4 linked regions of the Drosophila melanogaster genome follow. Changing the gene in region 4 together with the main gene of any one other region gives a genetic interaction. Each region holds a gene or a part of one and is shown on either strand. Other genes may lie near its edges. The genes, in order: Ras64B, SelR, Gyc76C and PlexA.

Evidence for each region.
Region 1: of PlexA (region 4) and Ras64B, changing one suppresses a phenotype caused by changing the other (phenotypic suppression), as found in Drosophila melanogaster (one study listed by BioGRID).
Region 2: of PlexA (region 4) and SelR, changing one suppresses a phenotype caused by changing the other (phenotypic suppression), as found in Drosophila melanogaster (one study listed by BioGRID).
Region 3: of PlexA (region 4) and Gyc76C, changing one suppresses a phenotype caused by changing the other (phenotypic suppression), as found in Drosophila melanogaster (one study listed by BioGRID).

The regions. Positions count from the first base shown.
Region 1 is NT_037436.4:4,137,237-4,141,898, forward strand, and holds Ras64B (Ras oncogene at 64B), read left to right. Parts: upstream 1-1,839; 5' UTR 1,840-1,942; coding exon 1,943-2,023; intron 2,024-2,670; coding exon 2,671-2,758; intron 2,759-2,814; coding exon 2,815-3,224; 3' UTR 3,225-4,162; downstream 4,163-4,662. Other genes in the region: Rop (Ras opposite), read right to left, coding at 1-1,578; Akh (adipokinetic hormone), read left to right, coding at 4,350-4,418, 4,487-4,657. UniProt on the Drosophila melanogaster protein: May be involved in endocytic processes and/or other transport pathways mediated by vesicle trafficking. May interact functionally with ROP protein. Ras proteins bind GDP/GTP and possess intrinsic GTPase activity.
Region 2 is NT_033777.3:10,862,855-10,869,963, reverse strand, and holds SelR (selenoprotein R), read left to right. Parts: upstream 1-1,673; 5' UTR 1,674-1,922; coding exon 1,923-1,992; intron 1,993-2,987; coding exon 2,988-3,155; intron 3,156-3,270; coding exon 3,271-3,435; intron 3,436-4,316; coding exon of another isoform or gene 4,317-4,513; exon of another isoform or gene 4,514-6,077; intron 6,078-6,105; coding exon 6,106-6,329; 3' UTR 6,330-6,609; downstream 6,610-7,109. Other genes in the region: Tsp86D (tetraspanin 86D), read right to left, coding at 1-321, 379-931. UniProt on the Drosophila melanogaster protein: Methionine-sulfoxide reductase that specifically reduces methionine (R)-sulfoxide back to methionine.
Region 3 is NT_037436.4:19,790,568-19,795,236, reverse strand, and holds the start of Gyc76C (guanylyl cyclase at 76C), read left to right. Parts: upstream 1-1,667; 5' UTR 1,668-1,809; intron 1,810-3,626; exon of another isoform or gene 3,627-3,789; intron 3,790-4,195; exon of another isoform or gene 4,196-4,353; intron 4,354-4,669. Other genes in the region: SREBP (sterol regulatory element binding protein), read right to left, coding at 1-327. UniProt on the Drosophila melanogaster protein: Guanylate cyclase involved in the production of the second messenger cGMP.
Region 4 is NC_004353.4:1,024,038-1,028,650, reverse strand, and holds the start of PlexA (plexin A), read left to right. Parts: upstream 1-1,549; 5' UTR 1,550-1,688; exon of another isoform or gene 1,689-1,881; intron 1,882-2,115; exon of another isoform or gene 2,116-2,435; intron 2,436-4,613.

The sequences.
Region 1 (4,662 bases), on a different chromosome or scaffold from region 4:
GCGGGCACTGGTTGGGGCATGATAATTGGTATTTTGGGCCCTGCCCTCGAGGAAGGGGAAGTGGCGGAGATCGAGCTTATCCTCTATGCAATCCTCCATGATGTCCTTGATCACCGGTGTCCAGCGGGACATCTGGTAGGTGCTTTCTGTGGTGCGCTCCTTGCGCGGCACCGAGTACTGCTTCTTGCGCGAATCTGCAATGACATTGATGCCCAAGCAACTAAGGTTACGCACCATATCCTGATCCTTCGGCGACAGCTGGGCATGCGTAAACAGCTTGGTCAGGTTCTCCTCGGAAATTCCGTTCTTGATCATGACGTACAGGGCAATGATGCGAACCTTGTCGTAGTTCGAGACATTGGCGTCCAGCAAGATGGGCACAATGTTGCGCATATGATCCTTGATCTTTTCGCCCTCGGCGTCCGTGCCCATGGCCAGATCCTGTTCCACGCGGCACAGCTTGTCCACGTAGTTCTGGTACGACTTCATGCAGTCCTCGGCCAAATGCAAGTGGGTGGAGTACTTGGACAGCTCCTTCTGGTACTGCGGCATCTTCTTGATCATCTGCGAGAGATCGCGCATCGACGACTTGTCAGCCGAGCCCATGCGCTTAGAGTCGGTGAATTTCTTAAGGTTCTGAGTCACCTGGGTGGAGACCACAGCGATATGCTCGTGACGCAGCTCCACCCACAAGTCGTCGTTCTCGTCGAGCAGCACCTCCTTATCCGGCTGGTTGGGGCCGGGCGTGTAGCGATACACGTCATTGACGATGGGTAGCAAATCGTAGGCCATGGCCTGCAGGGTGAGCTCGTGCAGCAGCGGCGACACGCAGTCGAAGCCGCGATCCAGGATCAGCAGCTGGGATCGTGCCTTCTCGGGGCCCTCGCCCATGGTGGCATCGTCGGCCTTGTAGGCGTCCAGCTTCTGCTGCACCGACGCGGCCAAATCGATGTTCCTGTCCCAGTCGCTGCGGTAGCGCACATTTGGGTACTCCCCAAGGGTAGCGCACAGTGTGGCTATTTGCTCGGCAATTCGCTCGATGTGCTTGCTCCGAATGGAGGCAAAGGCCGGCGAGTAGAGGCATTGGAATGTGTCCGGCGAGTCCAGCGAGAACACCTGGCATTCGTATGGCAAAAATGCAATGTTGATCTCCTTCAGCGTCTTGATCTTTCCGGCCGCGCACGACTTGCACAGATCGTTGAATAGCTCCTCGGGACAAACTTCGGTGAAGAAGACATGGGCATAGCGATACATGGGCCGCGCTGGGTTCTCGAAGTCTCGTATCAGACCGCGCACTGACTCATCCGACGGCGTAATCAGATAGATCGCGTCCATCGTGGGCAGCGGCTCGCGCTTCTTGTTGATGTCCTCAACCAGGGTGATGCCCTCGGCGCTGATTTCGTGCATCTTGGTGCAGGCGGACACCATGCGCATACCCAGCTTGTCCACCACCAGCACCCGCCATTCCATGCCGCCCGCCCCCGCAGCGGACGTAACGCCCTGCTTTTTGGGTGGTGGAGGCTTGTACTTCACCACCTCGTTCATCAGCTTTTGGCCCACCAGCACTTTCAAGGCCATTTTCACTGCGTTTTATTGGTCACGGGCGCAAAGGCAACTCGATTATGAACACACTGCGTGTAAATATGTCTTTTTAGCTTATTCCGTTCGCTTTTTCGCGTGGGCTAACTTGACTTAAAGAATTTTATCTATTCCTTGGCCAATTTTTCTGTATTTTTTTCGTTTGATGACTTAGCCTTAGTGATGGGCGAAAGTCGATTGCTGGCTAGCGATAGTTGATATCGATATTACTGTCTAGCAGAGACGCGCACCCGTCTCAGTGCGAGTGTGGATTTCTCAGTTAACCGAGAACGGTCACGCTGCTGCTGTCGAGGAAGGAAAATAAAATAATTTTGCTGGCCAACTGGTCGATTTAAACGGGGAAATGCAGATGCAAACGTACAAACTGGTGGTCGTCGGCGGCGGCGGCGTGGGCAAGTCAGCGATAACGATACAGTTCATCCAGGTAAGCCGCCCAGCATCGGCCCAATCCCTGGTGACGTCGCTTTCCACAGGGGCGTTTGAATGTGGGAGTGGGGGGCGATGGCGCACAGGGGCGGTGGCAGGGGGACGGCCCTTGTTTTGGCCAGAGCAACAAACAAGCAACAAGCGACTGTGATGTGCGTCTGTGTTTGGACATGCGTGTGCATAGTTTCGGGCCGAGATCATCACCAACACAATCATCATCATCATCATCATTGGCAGCATCATCATCGCGGTGGCCACACCCCCGTGTGTATCTCCAATTGGGGATCAAGTGGTCAGAGCCCAGAACCAGGGAGTTGCGTTAGACGCAGCCCCCAGTTTTCTGGGTGTGCCGATCGATTCCCCGAGAGTTTGTGCCATGGTCACGACCACAATGACCGCCCGCTTCCATTTATTTTTAGTCATTTGCGTCATCTGCACATCTTTCGTGTATATGCTGTAGCTTTTCCCCAAGATATATAGAGCATAGTGGATAGTGAATGATAAAAGTGACGTGTGTAAACAAATCAAAGGCGGAATGATAAACGCACCCCGCCCACATAAAAAACCCAGTCTTATAATGTTTATATATGTAGTTTTGTGGCCTCGGCAGCTGGCGGTACAATAATTTTAATCCTAATCTTGCAGAGCTACTTCGTCACGGACTACGATCCCACCATTGAAGACTCGTACACGAAGCAGTGCAACATCGACGATGTGCCAGCCAAATTGGACAGTAAGCTTCCTTTCTTTACCCTTACCAGATTCATAATAACCTGATATTTTACCTAGTTTTGGACACGGCTGGCCAGGAGGAGTTCAGTGCCATGCGGGAGCAGTACATGCGCTCCGGCGAGGGATTCCTGCTCGTCTTCGCGCTCAACGATCATTCCAGCTTCGATGAGATCCCCAAGTTCCAGCGCCAGATACTGCGCGTCAAGGATCGCGACGAGTTCCCCATGCTGATGGTGGGTAACAAGTGCGACCTGAAGCACCAGCAGCAGGTGTCCCTGGAGGAGGCGCAGAACACCAGCCGCAACCTGATGATCCCCTACATCGAGTGCAGTGCCAAACTGAGGGTCAACGTCGATCAGGCCTTCCACGAGCTCGTGAGGATCGTGCGCAAGTTCCAGATCGCCGAGCGTCCCTTCATCGAGCAGGATTACAAGAAGAAGGGCAAGAGGAAGTGCTGCCTGATGTAGAAGGAACTAAATGGAAGAGAATCTCCTGAATGCCGCAGCGGAAGCAGGAGCCAACATATAATGATTATAACACCAAATTTTTTGAAAAACACGCGTCGACTGAGCTTTGAATTCCGTTGAGAAGACGATAAACCAGTAACCCGAAACCAGTAACCGCACAAAACGTGTCAACGAGCCCAAACGAAGTGCATTTCTTACCTGCCCAGGTGCATGGCGCATTCAACGAACGAATCGAATAAACTTCGCCACTCTCAAATAGCTACGAAGAATCTTACAACTGACAACTAACAATGCAAAATGCAAACAGAAACACGAAACATAGGTAGATATATACAACAGATTCACACGAATAACTTATATATACATATATATTTCTACATATATTTTTGTAATATTATTTTGTTGATCAACGACAACAATTAAGGACGAATGTTTTCATGATTATTACCAATCGTGGCTCGCAGGCCATTTGTTTTTATAATGCAATAACTAAGCCCAGAACGTTTGTTTCGATTAAGCCAAAACGTAATAATGTGTTATTGTAATTTGTATTGTTATTTACTACTAATATATACGTATACATATATTAACTGCTTACAAACCGATTTTGTTGTAACAAATTGAGTGCCTCGTTCTCGCGCGTAGAAATCTAAAACATCAAACTCTGTATTACACCCACGGCATTTTTGTACTATACCCGCAGCTGCCAGGCGCGCACAACTCACTTAACGATACTTTTGTACATGTCCCCAGTCGGATCCGGATCCTATGGTTTATTGTTCGCCAAATGTATTGCAACAGTTGCTTTAGCCGCAATCTTGTTTTAACTCTTATACACTGCTTAATTTAACGAACTTATTTAATGGTATATAAATAAATATATAATTAAATTTAAAATTAAACATATGCGCAATTCTAATAAACACATGGAGAATCACAAACGCTTCCACATAGAAGATTGTTTCAATGACGCTCTCGACTGGAATTGAAAATTCCGACCCAATCCAAGCAATTATAGAAAGAATCCTTGCTAGTGCTGTGTTAATTACTTACCAGCTGTCTTCCCTTCGAGCTCAATGGGTATAAAAGCGGGCTGAATCGAAGTGGACCAGCATAGAACTCAGAATGAATCCCAAGAGCGAAGTCCTCATTGCAGCCGTGCTCTTCATGCTGCTGGCCTGCGTCCAGTGTCAAGTGAGTGAATTCATATCCCGCTGCAGGATATCCCTTTCTGATGTCTCATTTTATTTTCCTCTATATAGTTGACCTTCTCGCCGGATTGGGGCAAGCGTTCGGTGGGCGGAGCTGGTCCTGGAACCTTTTTCGAGACACAGCAGGGCAACTGCAAGACCTCCAACGAAATGCTGCTCGAGATCTTCCGCTTCGTGCAATCTCAGGCACAGCTCTTTCTGGACTGCAAGCACCGCGAGTAGATAGC
Region 2 (7,109 bases), on a different chromosome or scaffold from region 4:
ACGACCAGCGCGACTTCTGCAGGTCGATCTGTCCCTCCAGGGTCTTGGCCAAATAGATGACGAACAACTGCAGCAAGGCTATGCCCAGGGCAACGCCGGCAATCACATACAGATTCCTCTCGACCCATACTCGCACGATCTCGATGCAGCCGCTGGTCCAGATGCGCTTGCTGGCGGCGGCCACTGAACGCACCTGCACGCCATAGCCACACATGATGTTCACTAGGCCGGAGCTGATATCGGTGGCATTAATACAGCAGCTGTAGGGCACTCCACATCTCTCCACCGACGGCGATGAGCAGTTGAAGTACTCGTTCTTGCCTGTATGCATACGGACATGGAATTAATTCGTTTGTGGCTTATGAATCAAATACTCACTCCAATCCTGGTAGCCGGCGTTGCTCAGGCCGCAGCAGTTAAACTCCTGCTGGGCAAAGTCGATGAAGTTTTGCAAGTCGGAGTCGTCACGGTACGAGTGGATGATTTTGTCCGTGAACTGGTACTCGAGGAACGAGTTCATGTACTGCGGGAAAACGAAGCAGATGATGGCCAGCGACATCTCCAGTATGAAGAAGAGAAGCAGGCACATGGAGTACAGCTTTAGCAGCCAGGTGTTCTCGCGCAGCGCACCCAAACAGCCGGCGAAGCTGACCGTGAAGACGATGACTCCGGCGATGATCATCACCAGGGAGATGTTGAAGATCACATCGTAGATGGTGTCCAAGCGCAGCCAGCCATTGCCGTCCATCAGTTTGTCCATGAAGGCGTACACGCCGATGGCCAGGAGCAGGCCGCCGAAGAGCCAGAAGAGGAAGTTTAGCAGGAAGATCATGTACTTGACGCAAGAGGAAACGTAGCTGAAGTGGTGCGGATAGGTGGAGATCCGCGGGTGCATGTAGTTGCCCCCCTGATGGTATCTGTGATTGCTCATGGCCACGCGAATGTGCAAGTCGTGTTTTCAGCCGAGTATTTCGATGAGTATTACTTTTCCTGGTATTTTTGCCCAGGTTTCCTCCCCCACGGTTTTTTCTTTTTGTTGACGCCCTCTTTGCGTGTGGTCTCTTCAGCGGCCTGCACGGCTGTTTTGCTATAGTTTCGCAGTGCGTCAGTGGTGGACTGTCTAACTCTGGTGTTTCCCCGCAGCGAATATGATGAATTAACGCACTAGCTTAAATTTTATGACTGATAAGCAAATTTATGGAGCCACTAAAAATAACAAAGTGCCCGGCGTTGCCAGACGTGCTGTCCAATTAGGCAGCAGTTGGCAGCGCGGCCAGTCAGCTGTTCGCGTGACCGTACTGCCTTTGTTGCCTATCATCCAGCATTCGATTGGCAACGCGAGCCAGCCAGGTGTTTGATTTTCATCGCGTGCAGCTGTTTTCCCAAGCAGCTTTTTTTGTATTAGTTTTTAATTTTCCACCGCTGCGTAACATTGCGACGCACGCTTGTTTTCGCCCGCGTTTGGCGCATTCATAAACAAAAGGCCAAAAATAGAATCAGCACCATTTAGAGCGCTATTCAGCAGGTGAGTAGTTTTCCAGCTTAGAGAAAACCCAAGGACGCACCATTTAAGTGTGGGAAAATTAAGTGTTTTTTCTTTTCGGTTCTCCGCTGGTGACATTGAAGCACAATTGCGAGCGCATTTTCCCTAATTGAGTTGCGACTTTCTCTGCACTGCGCTTTCTCCTCGCCAAGCGTTCAAAAGCAGAAAAGCGCACGAAAATAGAACGGAAAATGTGGGAAATGTGGTAGACGGAAGTGGCAACGCGAATTGCATAAATATTAGTTAGTACGCGTGGGCAGTGCGCAGTGGACAAAACATTGACTTTTCCTCCTTGCTCTGCTCATTTTCCCCCTGTTGCTGTGCTGATTAAATAACCAGGCAGTGCCAAGTGCAGTTGTCACCTGAAATTAGCCACATAATGTTTGCACTTTCTGCTCGCCACGCACTGCGGCGCACTCGAATATTCGCCATTCCACGCTTTTTCGCAGGTGAGTTGCACTAAAAAGTCGCAGGTATAGTTTGTAATACCTGTGGGCGTGTCAGCCCATGCTCATCGATTGGCCATCGGCTAATTTTAGACACAATTTGAGTTGATTTTTTTATACATTTGCATTCTATATGAACGCAATTTAGCCGCTATTTTCTGACTTTGCTCGCAATGAATTCATTGTCTTCAATTGCCCGCGACACACTTGGCTGGCTTTTCTATTGTTGCACTCGGAAAAACCGAAAATAAAAGGTGACTGCTCCACCTACGCTATTCGATTTTCGGTTTTTTTTTCGGCTTTTCCTTCGCCTTCGTTTGCTTTGGGCGCCACTCCGTTTGATTGACGGCGGGCAAGCAGCATAAAAAGCCATAAAACTATTTTTGGCCCAATGCGTTTCTCCACTCCATTTGTTGGCCGCACTTAACAAATCTGTTTACACCTTCATTAATTAGCAGGCAAGTTTGTATACAAAATTGGTGTTACTAATTCCCTGGATGCACAACTTTGATTTTGAGTTTTCAAGATTGTTAACAAATTGTTTAAGAAAATGATAAGTATTTTCTATATTTTGTACGCTATATATAGCTTTTGTTTAATATTGGAATAAGAATATTTATGTATATATTTCCTTATCAAATTGGGTTCCAAAAATGCCAAAAATTTTCTTCATATAATTCATTTTCATAAATGGTATGGTATCGTTTGTATGAGAAAACAAGATGATTATGAGTTTCGAGAAAGTATTTTCAGCAACTCATGGCTGATAGTAGTAAGCTTCTTATCGTCAGATGGCCGCATTCAAATAAGCGAGTTGAGATTGCCCAAGGTTTCGTTGAAAGTCCCACCGATAAGTGGGCAGATTATGAGGGAAATCTTACAGAAGCTTGACGAAATCCCCTACTCAGTTTCCATTACCCAACTGCTGGCGAACCGAAAAGCACACTCAAACCGACCCGACCGCAAATCAAATACCAAAGTATTGTATTGCATTCCAGATTCACGCCAAGACAGCGACAATCCGGACAAAAGGTATTCCGGACCAGCAGCGACTATGGATAACAAGAGCGAGAAGGTTACGGTGAACAAGGAGGAGCTGCGCAAGCGCCTGACCCCGGTGCAGTATCAGGTTACCCAGGAGGCGGGCACCGAGCGACCCTTCACAGGTGAGTCTCTCCTAACAAAACATGCAGCCATAAGCCATTATCAAGATGGAACGCCACCCCTCGAACAAAGTGCATTCAATTCTGATTCCCAAATGATGGAATGCAATGTCCACAGGTTGCTACAACAAACACTACGAGAAGGGCGTGTACCAGTGCATCGTGTGCCACCAGGATCTGTTCAGCTCGGAGACCAAGTACGACTCGGGATGCGGATGGCCGGCCTTCAACGATGTCCTAGACAAGGGCAAGGTCACGCTGCACCGCGATGCCAGCATACCAGGTGCGTATTGGCCAGGCGGCCCACTTTTGGCCAAGACCTTGCTCGGCACTTTTAGCTGTTGATTATTGCAAAGCGTTTTGAGTTATGTTTTTATTTGAGTTGCTGTTCCGTTGCCGCACCCAAGAGTTGAGAATTTCATTTGCGTTTATCCACCTAGGAGACAATATAACCCAGACTAGAGTAATTATTCGCCTAGTTGTCATGTGTGAATAAGAGCAATCATAAGATTACCAAGTTTATAAAGAAGCCTTGATAACGATTAATTGTAGAGTTATATAAGCATATAAACATATACATATGTATATTTCATATTTTGGTATGACCTTCAGCTTGATTGTTTTCCATTTCTAAAGAAAATGGTGTGCATAAGTCATTGTAAAGAAATAAAATCATAAAGTGAGATGTTTATAAGAAGAGGCTTATTAGTTAATGGCTTAATTAAACCTTATAAACCCATTAGCTAATATTATTCATTTAAAGTCTGTGCTGTTTGTGTTGCCTTGTTTGTTGCTTTGTTTCGTGTTTAAAATCTGATCTTGAACCCGACCCCAAAACTGTTCCACTGCCCAGAGTTCACTGTAGTTGTGCCGTTGGCCTTGCCATTGTTGTGTTACTGTGTTTAGTCTTGTGCCGGTGATTTGTGACTAGTGAGTGTTCCTGCTGCCGTTGCAGCACCTGAATGTGCAACAAAGCGAGAAGAAGCGACTAAAATTGATTCCTAACCGAGTATTGTGTTCTCTTATCCCACTCTTCTATCCCGCCTGACTTTCTCAACATTTCTTTCTTTCTAAAAAAAAACCACATGAAATACAACTAATGCCATATCGATTCCACCCGAATATCACCCACGAGTATCACTTGTAAACCGATTAAACCAACAGTAGTCATTTCGAAAACGCTAGGCATGGTGCGCACCGAGGTGCGCTGCTCCCGATGCTCCGCCCATATGGGCCACGTCTTCGATGATGGACCGCCGCCCAAGCATCGACGCTTCTGCATCAATTCCGCGTCCATCGATTTCGTGAAGAGTGCGACGCCATCGAAGGCGGATCCATCGACGGCCTCGTCCAAGAAATAATGACCGATCTGCCTGCTAACCACAAGGAATACCATTACACCCGGAGGAGTAGCCCCATATAGACCAGCGGTAGATGCTACTCCGGGTCTATAGAGGGCTGCAGGTCCAGCAAAGAAAGATATTTAGCTATTTTATAGGCGTTTATTATGCAAAACTGTTTAACGAACAAAAAAAAACATAGCTTATACACAAGAACGATGTTTGAAAATGTATTGCGGAACGAGGAGTGAGAGTTTAGTATTGTAGTTCAGCCCAGCAGATTCCATTTGCTATATACTTTTCCTACTTTTACCCTATGTATGTTTCGGTTTCAAATCTCTATCTCTATATTATAACTTTATAAAGTTTACGAAAGTTTTATGAACGGAAATGCGAGTCTACAGTTCCTGGCCTGGGTTTATGCACTCTTTTCGGTTTACAATCTCACTCACTGTGTAGATGAACTCTACTTCTCAAAAGTATCTCCCCTTGCATTCTCATCGTATCTATAGGATATGTATATTGTACGTTAATAAAAATTAACCCATTTTGTAGGAACTTACGTGCTTAGCAAGAAGTTAAGTTTTGCGCAAGGTTATCATTTATTTTGGGATAAGACGAGGGTTCCTTTAGTTAGTTTATATGTTTTTCTTTTCGGTTAAGTGCAATTTTCATACATATTTCGGTTTTGAATCTACATAGATCATTGAGCTTTTTCCACATACCATATTTCGATCATTATACAAGGTCGATTGGATTTATTTTTGGGCCAGGGCCATTATGTGTATGTCTGTGTGAATGTGGTGCTTTTATTTTAAAATATTATTTTCCGGTGCTGTATTTGGTTATTTGTATGATTTCGATTTACGTTTTAGTTTGTTGCTTTTTACTCACGCTCAATTTTCTTTTGATTTCAATAACATAACCCGAATACTTTAACCAACATTATATCCATAAACTATATAGAGTGTTTTAAACAATCCAAATAATGTGTATTTTCGTATATTTTCTATTTCTCTTTTTTTAACTCGCTTCAAAAACAAAAAAAAAACTAAATGTACAACGCCTGTAAACGTTTTTTGGGGGTTTGTTTTGCTAACCAAAAACACGAAAACATTTAACTCATCGCTGAAATTATAACACCCGAAAAAACGACACATGAAATGCTTAATTAACCAAAATAACATGTACGCCAAATCGTTCGGAAAATCATCTATATTCCTGATTCGTCAATTATTTTCACCGGTTTATGTGACTTCATTTCATATTGTTTCACCTGCCACCCATTGTTAATTATCGCTCTCTCTCTCTCTCTCTCTGCTGCATCTCCTCCTTCGCTCTCTGATTTGCACTCCCATTTATTTGCCGTTATTTCTTCGCTCTTTTCTGTGATTCTTTCTCTGCTTCACATTTATCACCCATTTCACAATCAATTTTCTATTTCTGTTTGATTTGTTTACACCGAAAAACTTTGAATTAACCTTGCAAAACGATCAAAAAAATGAATATATTGTAAAAAATGTCAACAAAATGCGCTACACAACAAAAAAAAAAAACAACAATCAAAACGTATCCAATTAATCCCACGAAATGGCAAAATACAAACTAAATAGGGGGCAATATTTTACTACTAATCGCACATCCAGAACGTATACGCACTGAGGTCCGCTGCGCCCGCTGCAACGCCCACATGGGTCACGTCTTCGAGGATGGTCCGAAGCCGACCCGCAAGCGCTACTGCATCAATTCCGCCTCCATTGAGTTCGTGAACGCGGATCCCGCCACCTCGTCCCCGCCCGTGGCCACGCCCACCGCGGCGCCCATTGCCCAGCAGTGATGCCGAGGATCAACCGCCAAACGGAGGAGGCAAGCCTCAGAGTGTCGTTGCTGTTAAGAAATTTTTCTACGTGTACTTTCTAACTTTCCGCAAATGTGGCCAATTTTAGCTCGTAGTCAAGTCAATCGCCCCTCTGTTTGTGTAAATAGCTAATGTTTTGGTTCGAAATTTGTTCGTTAATTTATACAAACCCAAATACCGAATACTCTGTAACCCCACACATTCAACACAGTACTAATTTTAAAGTGAGCGCGCTAAATAAACGTGTGTTTTTTACAATAAAACGGTGCTTGCATGTGTTGTGTTTTTGCAGTTGTCACTATTAATTTGAACGTAGTTGTTAGTGCCGACCAGGTGAGAACGGAACAGCTGAGCCGCGTTGCCAACTACGTCAGTTGCCTTCCCTTGTTTGCGCAAAACAGATGCTGCGCCGCAGTTGTTGTTGACGTGACGTAACGACCGGCGACGCAACAACATGAAATCGAATTTATTTATGGCTCGGAAGTCAATTGATTTTAATTGCAGTCGCCGTATAAGGTGAATTTAAATGTTTATTAGCCCGAAGTGATGTGCTGGCGACAAATCGATAACAGCGAATGGGCCGAGTATGCGATCGTTTGATTTTGAAGTGCGACACGTGTGTAGGGTGACTGGAGAACTTTTAAACTGGACCACCCACCTGTGCGTTCCACATGCGATTGTTTGCTTGTGACTTTCAAACCGCATTGTAAATTCGCAATTATCTAACAGCGATTTCAGTGTAAATACAATTCGGGCACG
Region 3 (4,669 bases), on a different chromosome or scaffold from region 4:
GTAGACGAGAAGCGGCGACTGTTGTTGCTGCTGATGCAGTTCCTCCTTGATGTGCACTGGCGAAGAGTGCTCGCTTTTCACGTGCGGCTGTTGCTCGACGGATTGCGGCTGCTGATCCACGGACTGCGTCTGCTGGGTATGCGTTCGAGGCTCGTCCAGCAGCATGTTGTACATCTGCGTCGGCGCCAGGTCCATGTCGTTGAGGATGATGTCCAGCATGTCCGAGTGCAGGTCGGCGTCGAACGGTTCGAAGACATCCTCCGCTTTGAACAAATCCATGGACTCGTCCAGCGGAGCGTCTATTAAGTTCATCAGTGTCGTGTCCATTGCGAATGCTGCTGATGAAAGGGACAAAAACGGTTCGTAATTAAATACTGGCGGGCCCACGTATGTGCATATTTATGTATGTATGTTTGTACATTTGAGGATTGTTTATTAAAGTTCTATGCGGCGCAATAACAACAGTGGGACAAGTATGTTGGTGCCGGAAAAAACAAATATTAATATGTTTATAATCACATTAATTCATTTAATTACCCTTTTTCCACAGTGGCCACTTGCAGCTTTAATAACAGATTAAAAGGGGTTTTTATAATTAAATTTGTAATATACGTAACAAAGTTAAAATAAATCTTTTAATTGTACTCAAACCTAAAGTGAATCACAGTCGGACCTGAAAATGGCATATGTGTTAACTTGTTTTTGTTTGTTTGTTGTTTGCTCGTAGTTAAAATAGGAACAAAATATAATATCTTGAGATCATTTTGGCTATATCAAGTTTTGCTAGACTAATGCAAATTGCAATAGAGGCGAATATTTTTAAACGGTCTAAGCTTTTACTTCGCTTTTGGCCCACTGTGCACTGCACACACACATACGCGACCGGGAAAGCATGCGTAAGCGCTTTCAACCAATCAGAGGGCTCGACCGGATCATACGATGTTTTTAGTGACGCCACTTGGCCTTTGGGAGCTCCAACAGGGCATTTTCCCAGGCTCCACTGGTTTCCCGATCTGATTTCCGCGAAAATTAATCTATTAGACACTATCTACATTATTAGCAGAAAAAGAAACGCACCTTTACCACCTTCTATCTGTTTTCTTAGTTCACGTGTGCTTTTGTTTTTCCATAACTGGTTAATGTCAACGCACTTTGCTTTAAACTAGCGACTAGTTAGTAATAGTTGCAACACTTGTTGTTCATGGTTGTTTTGATTTTTTTCACGAGTATATTTGCAGCTTAATAAACAATTGCTTTCGATTGCAGTAAACTTTGTTCTTCAGGGATGACGAGCAGTAGTTCGGGCCTAAGGAACTGGTTCAGGTCTTGACTCCCTGGCATCAAGAAACAGCTGTATTACTTACAATGCCTGTATAGAAATATATATATTTAATAGTTTATGATGTATTTTATAAAACTGCCATAAAATATCAACGCTGATTCTGACACGCAGAGTAAGGAAATAAATTCAACATGTATAAGTGTAATTTAAAATATGCGGTTGTCCTCGCTGAGCGTGGTGGATGTCACCGCTACCTACATTCAAGAGAATAATTAAGAGAGCGCCAGAGCCGTGTGACCGCGCTAGAATTACTTAAAAATACCAAGGAATGTTGAAGACAAAAAGTTCCGGTAAATTGGCACAACGCACTGGCCACACTGCTACATCACATATTCAAAATCGGGTAGGTAGTCGCGACGGAAAACGGGAAACGCGGACGAATCGCGGAGCCAGAGAAGCGGTAAATTCGAAATAACCGTTTGGAAAGAGCAACATGATGAGGTTCTTTATTCGTTTTTAGTAAAATGGTACAAAGTGAATATGTGATTTAATTGATAACCAGCATGGGCGCCGTCAGTGTTAATTGCGTTCTGAATTGCTCTTTCGAAAACGCAGACACAAATGCACACACACAAAGTAGCGGCACCCACACGATCGCAATGGCAAAAGTGCTGCAGTGATAAAACAAATGCACAGCCATAAAGGCAAAGTCGGAAAAGTTTCACAATGCACTGGCGGCCCATGCATAAAAATGTACAATTTGGCGCTCTTTGCACTTGTCACGTCGTTGGAAAAGCAAAAAAACCTACCAACCAACAACAATAGGAACATAAACTGAAACAAAAAGAAAACCATTTTTGCTTCGCGCTTTTGTTTTTGTTTGGACCGCCGCTCACGCACTTTCGCGCTCACACGCAGAAACTTTTTGCATTTGTTTTCTTCACCCGTTGCATTATCACAACAACTGATCTCCTCTGCCCTCTCTCTGATGCTCTTGCTCACACTTGTTCGCTCTGTCTCGCCAGGGTTGCCATTTTCGACCGACAAACTTGCACTTGCTACTATGAATAACCTTTAAAACGGTTTTATTTTGGCACAATCTTAGGATTTATTTACGATTTTTGCGATTTACCGCATTTGCTGTCTGCAACAGTTTACATTTTTGTTTACCTTTACGGTCGCCAATTGGAAATACTAACTGCAAATTTGGTTGCCTTAAGTGTAGGTGTATTGTTTTCAATATAGACGAAGCTTATTTATATCAAATGCCTATTATTTAAATTAAACTGAAAACATTCAACCAACGGTCATCAGGAAAAGTATCTTAAGAGGACTATTTCACTACTAAATCCTATTTTTTATATTTCTACTTCACCTTAGCTTATCAAAATCTTTATAAATCCGATTGTATGTATGATGCAGCATAATTTTATTATTCTCGGTAATATATGGATATGCTTCAAATCCAAATATACAGACTTTATTTATTCAATAAATTAGTTTAACCTAATGTTAAACTAAATATAAAATAACTAAAATTAGTTTAACCTAATGTTAAACTAAATATATTACCGAACGCTGTGATTATGACTCTGTTATTTACCAACTGTCTTGCAACTTGGAAATATTCCTGTATTAATCATTTCCTATTTTCCTTGATACAAAAGAGCCTTTATTTCACTGCAATATTGAGTCATCCAACAAGCTGTTGTTGTAGATTTGGTCCGATTTTTCTATTTCTTCTTCTGACTGTTCTCATACTCTCTGTGCTTCTGTTTCTCCGGCTTTCTGCATAAATTACATTTTCCGTTTGGACTTTGCCAGTTTTGCTAGTGTTAGCACCTCCTTGGCGAAAAGTTTCCAACGGAAATTGTCAGCAGAAAATGAAAAACTCCCATGTAAATACTCCGCAAACGCACACACGCACGAGCTCAGCGGAATACACACCAATACACACGCACACACTAGCAGCGGCAGCGCTTAATAAAGATTAACGCATTTCTTATCAAGCGGTGATAGCGGGCAAAGAAGATGGAGAGAGCCGAAGCGAGACAGAGCACTAGCACTGCGACAGCATTTGAGCTTCGCTTTTCGCACACCCGATAGAGCGGCATAGAGTGGGAAAGGGATGGAGACAGAAGGAGACAGTGATATCTTTTCTCTGCCTGATTAGCAGTAGCAGCGTCTAGTTTTTCTCGTGTTATTTATTTGTTTTCTGCTCTCCGCCGCCGCTCCCGTTGCCTCTCCCTCACAGCAGCCGCCTTCGAACGCCGACGCTGCCTGCTTTATTTTCGCGCCGCTGCTGATAAAATAAAGAACAATATTAATTTAAGTTTAAAAATAGAATTCGCTGCAGATGCCCATTGCATGAATGTGTGCGAGCGGGAGAACGAGAGAACTGATTTCGCTCTCCCGCTCTCTTACAGCACACACATGTTGATCCGCAGCGGCAGCGTCAATTACTGTTCTCATATCATCTCCGAGAGCACGGAAATCAGTGATGGCAAGTGAGAGGAGCAAATCTTTGGCGGATAGCAAAAACCGCTAAGTGTGTGGCAGTCAACGCTACTTTTCTTAGTATAGTACTTAGTTATACCTTTTATCGTGCAATTTTTAAATGAGGACTATGTTTTTCCAAAATGTATCTGCTCAATATAATTTGACTATTTATCTTTTAATCCATTTAAACCTAGTTTTAAAAATTTTAAAAAAGTGTTGATAATATATCTTGATGGATATCTTTCGGATATCCTACACTGAGCGAAACTAAAATTGTTTGATAAAGCGTCCTCATATGCCTACCTTAACACAGTGAAAAAAGCCAAAGTGCCATCTCTGGGAGCATGCGGTGTCGCTCGCCCGATTTTCGTTTGGGGCTTTCAGTATTATTCTATTCTCCTGCGCCCCAAGTTGTTTTTTCGGATCGGCAAAGCCGCGTGCGCCCCATCGCACTCTCGCACACACACATACGCACTCACAGAAAAAGATATTATGCATACATATGTATGTTTAATATATATATTTCTCTGATTGGATTGGGGCAAAAACAAAACCCAAAGAGTGCGAAAAAGGTGAAAAAAGTAAAAAGCCGAATAGAATTTCGAATAAAATCCAGTGCGGTTTGTGTTAATAATTATTATTGAATGAAAAACAAATTCCGACAAATGTGTTAACAAGAGTGTTCGCAGCCGCAGCGCCATAAATTTTACAACAATACGGGGAAAAAATCGAAAAAATAACGAAAACTGGAATTTGTGATAATTGTTTTTCGGGCCAGTCAGCGAGAGGGAGAGCAGTGCAAAGATAACAGATTTGTTTTGTTTCCCTGATAAGCCACTCTACTGATACAGCGGTGTAATTTTGGACACTCGAACCTTGTCATATTAA
Region 4 (4,613 bases):
GGATTTGGTTGTCGTTTTTTTAGGGGTATTCGGCGGAAAGGCTGTACATATAGAATGGAATTTATAGTATACATGTATTATAGGCACTCGAGTTTTAATCCTACAAAGCACTTCAAAAAATTTTGCTTGAAATCTTATTTCCCTCCGTTATTAGTCGGTTGGGCATGTGCTTCTCAAAATATTTACTCGATCATTTAAATTTGAATTGGATAAGCAAGATTGTATCATAACGACGTCACGCCCAATCTAACGCCCACAATTTCTGTGGGCGTTGTGTTGTTATTTTGTTTTCATTTAATTATCTGTCATGATATTGACATACCACAAAAATTTTGCCACACCCAAACTGTTATGCCCACTCTTAAGAATTATTTTTCGATTTTATTTTATAAATTCTCTTGGCTGTTTCTATCGATTTGCCAAACGTATTTTAGCCACGCCCACTGTTCCCACTATCTGAATAACGGGTAAACCTTTTATTTCTGACATTTTAAGGCAGATTGTGGGAGGTAGGGTTAAACAACAAACGTTCTGCAACAATCTTGAAAAATGTGGCGTCACTTGAATCTACATGCTCTGAGCTCTCTAGAGTTCATAGTTCCGAAAATATCAATTCTCCATAAGTTTGTTCCTTTCTACATTTCTATTTTACGATTTAGGGGAATAAACTTTTGAAAAGTGCGTCAACGGTATCTTCTGACAGTTTCCCACAAGTTGTTGATATCCTGTTGTTTAACGTGAGATAGACGATTTATGGATAGAATTTACCTTAGTAGCGCCAAAAATACCGCAAACTGCGCACGCACGAAGCTGAGAATGTAAGCAGCCAATAGTGGAATACACTTCATGTGTACATGTGCAAATAAACACCCTGCAATTCAATTCATTTAACTTTTATCTATATGTCATTTCTTAGAAAAAATCTCTATTGCTAATCAGCCCTCAAAACAGTGAAATTATTGATTATTTTTTTTTCTTACTAACTAACTAAGTCTCTAACTACATGGTCATAACAACAATGCTTTAAATCAGATGTGTAAATATGCACATCTGCAGTCGGTGTCAGTTGAAGATATTTCAATAGGTCATAAAATGTGCACAAAGGCCAACAAAAAAAAGTTGTGCCATGAAATTTTAAATAACAAAATTATGCTTTGATACAGTTTGCGCACATATTTGCTGTGGATTGAGGAGCTGTTAGCATGAAATTCTTAAGTCCAATTTTTCAATTTACATTTTCATTGTGAACAGACCTTTATAGTCTCATCACACTATCGATATTAAAGAAAACGAATATATTAAATATATTTATTTCATTTTTTAATAATGCTCAAGGAAATTAGAGAGATAATAAATATTATCTGGCTTGGGAATCAAACCCCTTCCAAATTACTTTCGTACGAGTCATTACACAGTAACAACAAGACATTTTCCATGTACTCGTGAACATTACATTTTGAAGTGTGCCATCGGTTAATTTAGGTATCGATAGTGATAGGTATGAACGGGTCTTAGGACTAACAACTAGTTGTTTAATTCTCTCCTCTGCCTTATAGTATCGATAACATTTACATACAATGATGTGTAAATTAAAGTGTGGTGTAATTCGAAAATAGACAGAAATTATGTTCAGTGACTTGCGATGTAAAGAAATAATAGTTAATGAGTGAAATATAGGAAAACAAACAGTAAGCCGGATTTCCGATTGTTCACTAGAAAACTATCGCCGTTCCATAATTCAGATATACATACAAAATTGTCATTTTTTGCTAAATATTAAAAAAAGTGTAATAAAATCATTTAACGTTCCAGTGTATATTGCATTGCTTTAGAATTATTAAGAAAATACAAATTTTCTTTAACTGGTATACAACGTTGTATGTATGTAAAAATTAAAAACGGCCATGCAATCATTTTGTTTTATGTACTTAAGTATATATTATATTTATGTAAATAGTATTTTTAAAAAGTGTGGCTCTTATTTAAATACATTGTTAGCTGCGTTTCACACATACGAAATTAAATGCATCATGCATTGGGAAAGATAGCAGCAAAATAAAATTTGCTGTATATGATGTGCATGTGTATGCATATAAATATATACATTTTGTATAGATGTGTGTGCACCAGAATATCCCAAAAATTCCAAATGCAAAAGATCGAGTTTTACTTCTCTCAATAATCTTTGCCTAAAAACATTTAAACTAAGTGCACTTACATTTTACCGGTTTATTATATGTATTTAAATTCGGGCGCTGGCCAAATTTGTATGTATGTATGTGCAGTATGCATATATGCATTTGCAATGAAATTACCAAATATTGTGCACGCTCGCCCAAATTTGAAATCCTGGAATAGCCGTGAATATACTTTAAAACTACATAAATTCTCTATAACGAAATGGCTTGGAATAAGTGGCCTGAGTGCGAATATATGTAAGTGGAAAAAAATTGAACGTTTGGAACTGAATTTGTTCAAAGTTTTACAATTAATGTGTTAGGTAGAGGAAATTTTTTATTGCAAAAACGAGATATGCTTATATAGCATACATAGGAAACTCCTTAGCTTGGGATTTCCATTCCATTAATATTTATAGCATGATATGGATTCATGTTTAATATATATGTACAGTTGCGGTCAACATATTAGCGGCAGTAGCGGAATATATTTTGGTCGGTTATAGTCCTATTCGGAGACAGTAAATGGTAGAGCACGTTGGTTCATGAATTATGCTTTGGGTGAGATTTTCATATTAAGGAGTTGAGCCAGTATATCTGAAGCTCCATCTTCAGTTCCGTCACCGGGTTCTTGCTTTGCCGAACCAAGCGCTTGGATGCTTGGAGAGCATCCAAGTTGGACATTGAAGGCTTTCCTCGCCGCGTTTCGTTCTTTTCGACAAACAGCAGTGATTTGCGGATCATTTTGTTTGAACAACCGACAATGCGACCAATTTCAGCGTAGGTTTTACCTTCAGAGATCACGTTTTTAATCAAATTTCTTTTTTCGACGGTACAATGCTTTCCGTGACCCATGACTAGAGAATTTTTGGTCTTCGTTTGGAGCAAATTCAATTAAAACCTTTAATGCAACACCTTTTTTTCAAAATTTGTCGTAAAAAAAACCAAAGCAATCACTCCCATTAATTTTATTCAGCAAATACGTTTTCAGTGCTATTTTTGTTACCGCCTCATTTCGCGCACTTTTGCAGCAAGTGCCCAAAAACAAAAAGAACCGTTAAATTGAGAGACTAAAAATTTATTGCTCAAAGAGGCAACATATGGTACTTATTATTCATGCAATCTGGCTTAAAAAAAAAAAAATTTATAATTTTTTTTAGGATATCAATTTTCCACCTGCAGTAGTGCTATTATTTTAACCTTAACTGTAGTTTCAAAACTATTTGTACGACATCATTTTAAACTATGCGATAAACTACCCATGTTTCAGGGAAGTACACTTACAGCCAACCCACAGTTTTTGTTTTGACGTGATTAAATTTTTAAACTGAGTTTTTTTGGCTGTGAAGATTTTCAAAATTACGATTTATTGGGTGTTCACGAAATACATTTATAATCTATATGTAACAGCATTTCAATGTTTGGTGATCCACACAAATAGAATTCGAAAGAATACTATAGTCGAGTTCCCCGACTCAGATACCCGTAACTCAGCTAGTGTGAATGCGAACGCGAAATTGCTTTATTTTTCTGGGATATCAATATTAAGGAATAAAATGAGAAAAAATTTAAAATTTGTTTTAAAATGTGAGCGTGGCAGTTTTGCGCGGTTTTAGGGCGTTAGAGTGGGCGTGGCAACATAGGTTAACAAACTTTCGCTCCGTATTTGTCTTTAGAATCTGTATGCTGAATCTCAACCTTTTAGCTGATATATACAGCTGTGTTCATAAAAATAGCAGTGCTTGGGACTTGCGAGTTTAGGATAAAAAATCATATGATTTAAAGTTGTAATGGGAATTTTTTTCATAATTTTATTATTATATCAAACAATTCAACATATGTTTCACTTTTATTTTTTCAATAGATATAGATTAAAACAACATAATAGGCAGAAATTCTGGTGTTCACTGAAATAGCAGTGATATGAAAAAATAGTAACAACATGACTTAGAACTAACATAGTTTTTTTTTAATGTGTTAATTAGGGACTAATACCTGGTTGGATTGCCTTTTTTAGCCAGCACAGCCTTACACCTACTCGGCATGGAGTCCACGAGGACGTTTGGGGGAATTTTTGCCCATGCATCCTGCACAACTTGCCAAAGCTGAATCTTGGACATCGGGGAATTCTTCGACACGTATTGTTTAATGTCCCCCCACAGGTTTTCAATCGGGTTTAAATCGGATGATGGTGCTTGCCACGGCATTGCATCTATTCTATTTTGGGTGAACTTATTCTTAGCCGATTTGCTTCTGCGTTTCGGATCATTATCCTATTGGAATGTCCATTATAAGGGCATATTCCATTCAGCATATGGCAGTAAAACATCACTAGGTATATTTACATACCATTAATCATATGTATGGGACCCACACCGTTGTATGAAAAACAGGCCCATACCATATTTATGTCCACCGTGCTTAACATTCTTGAGT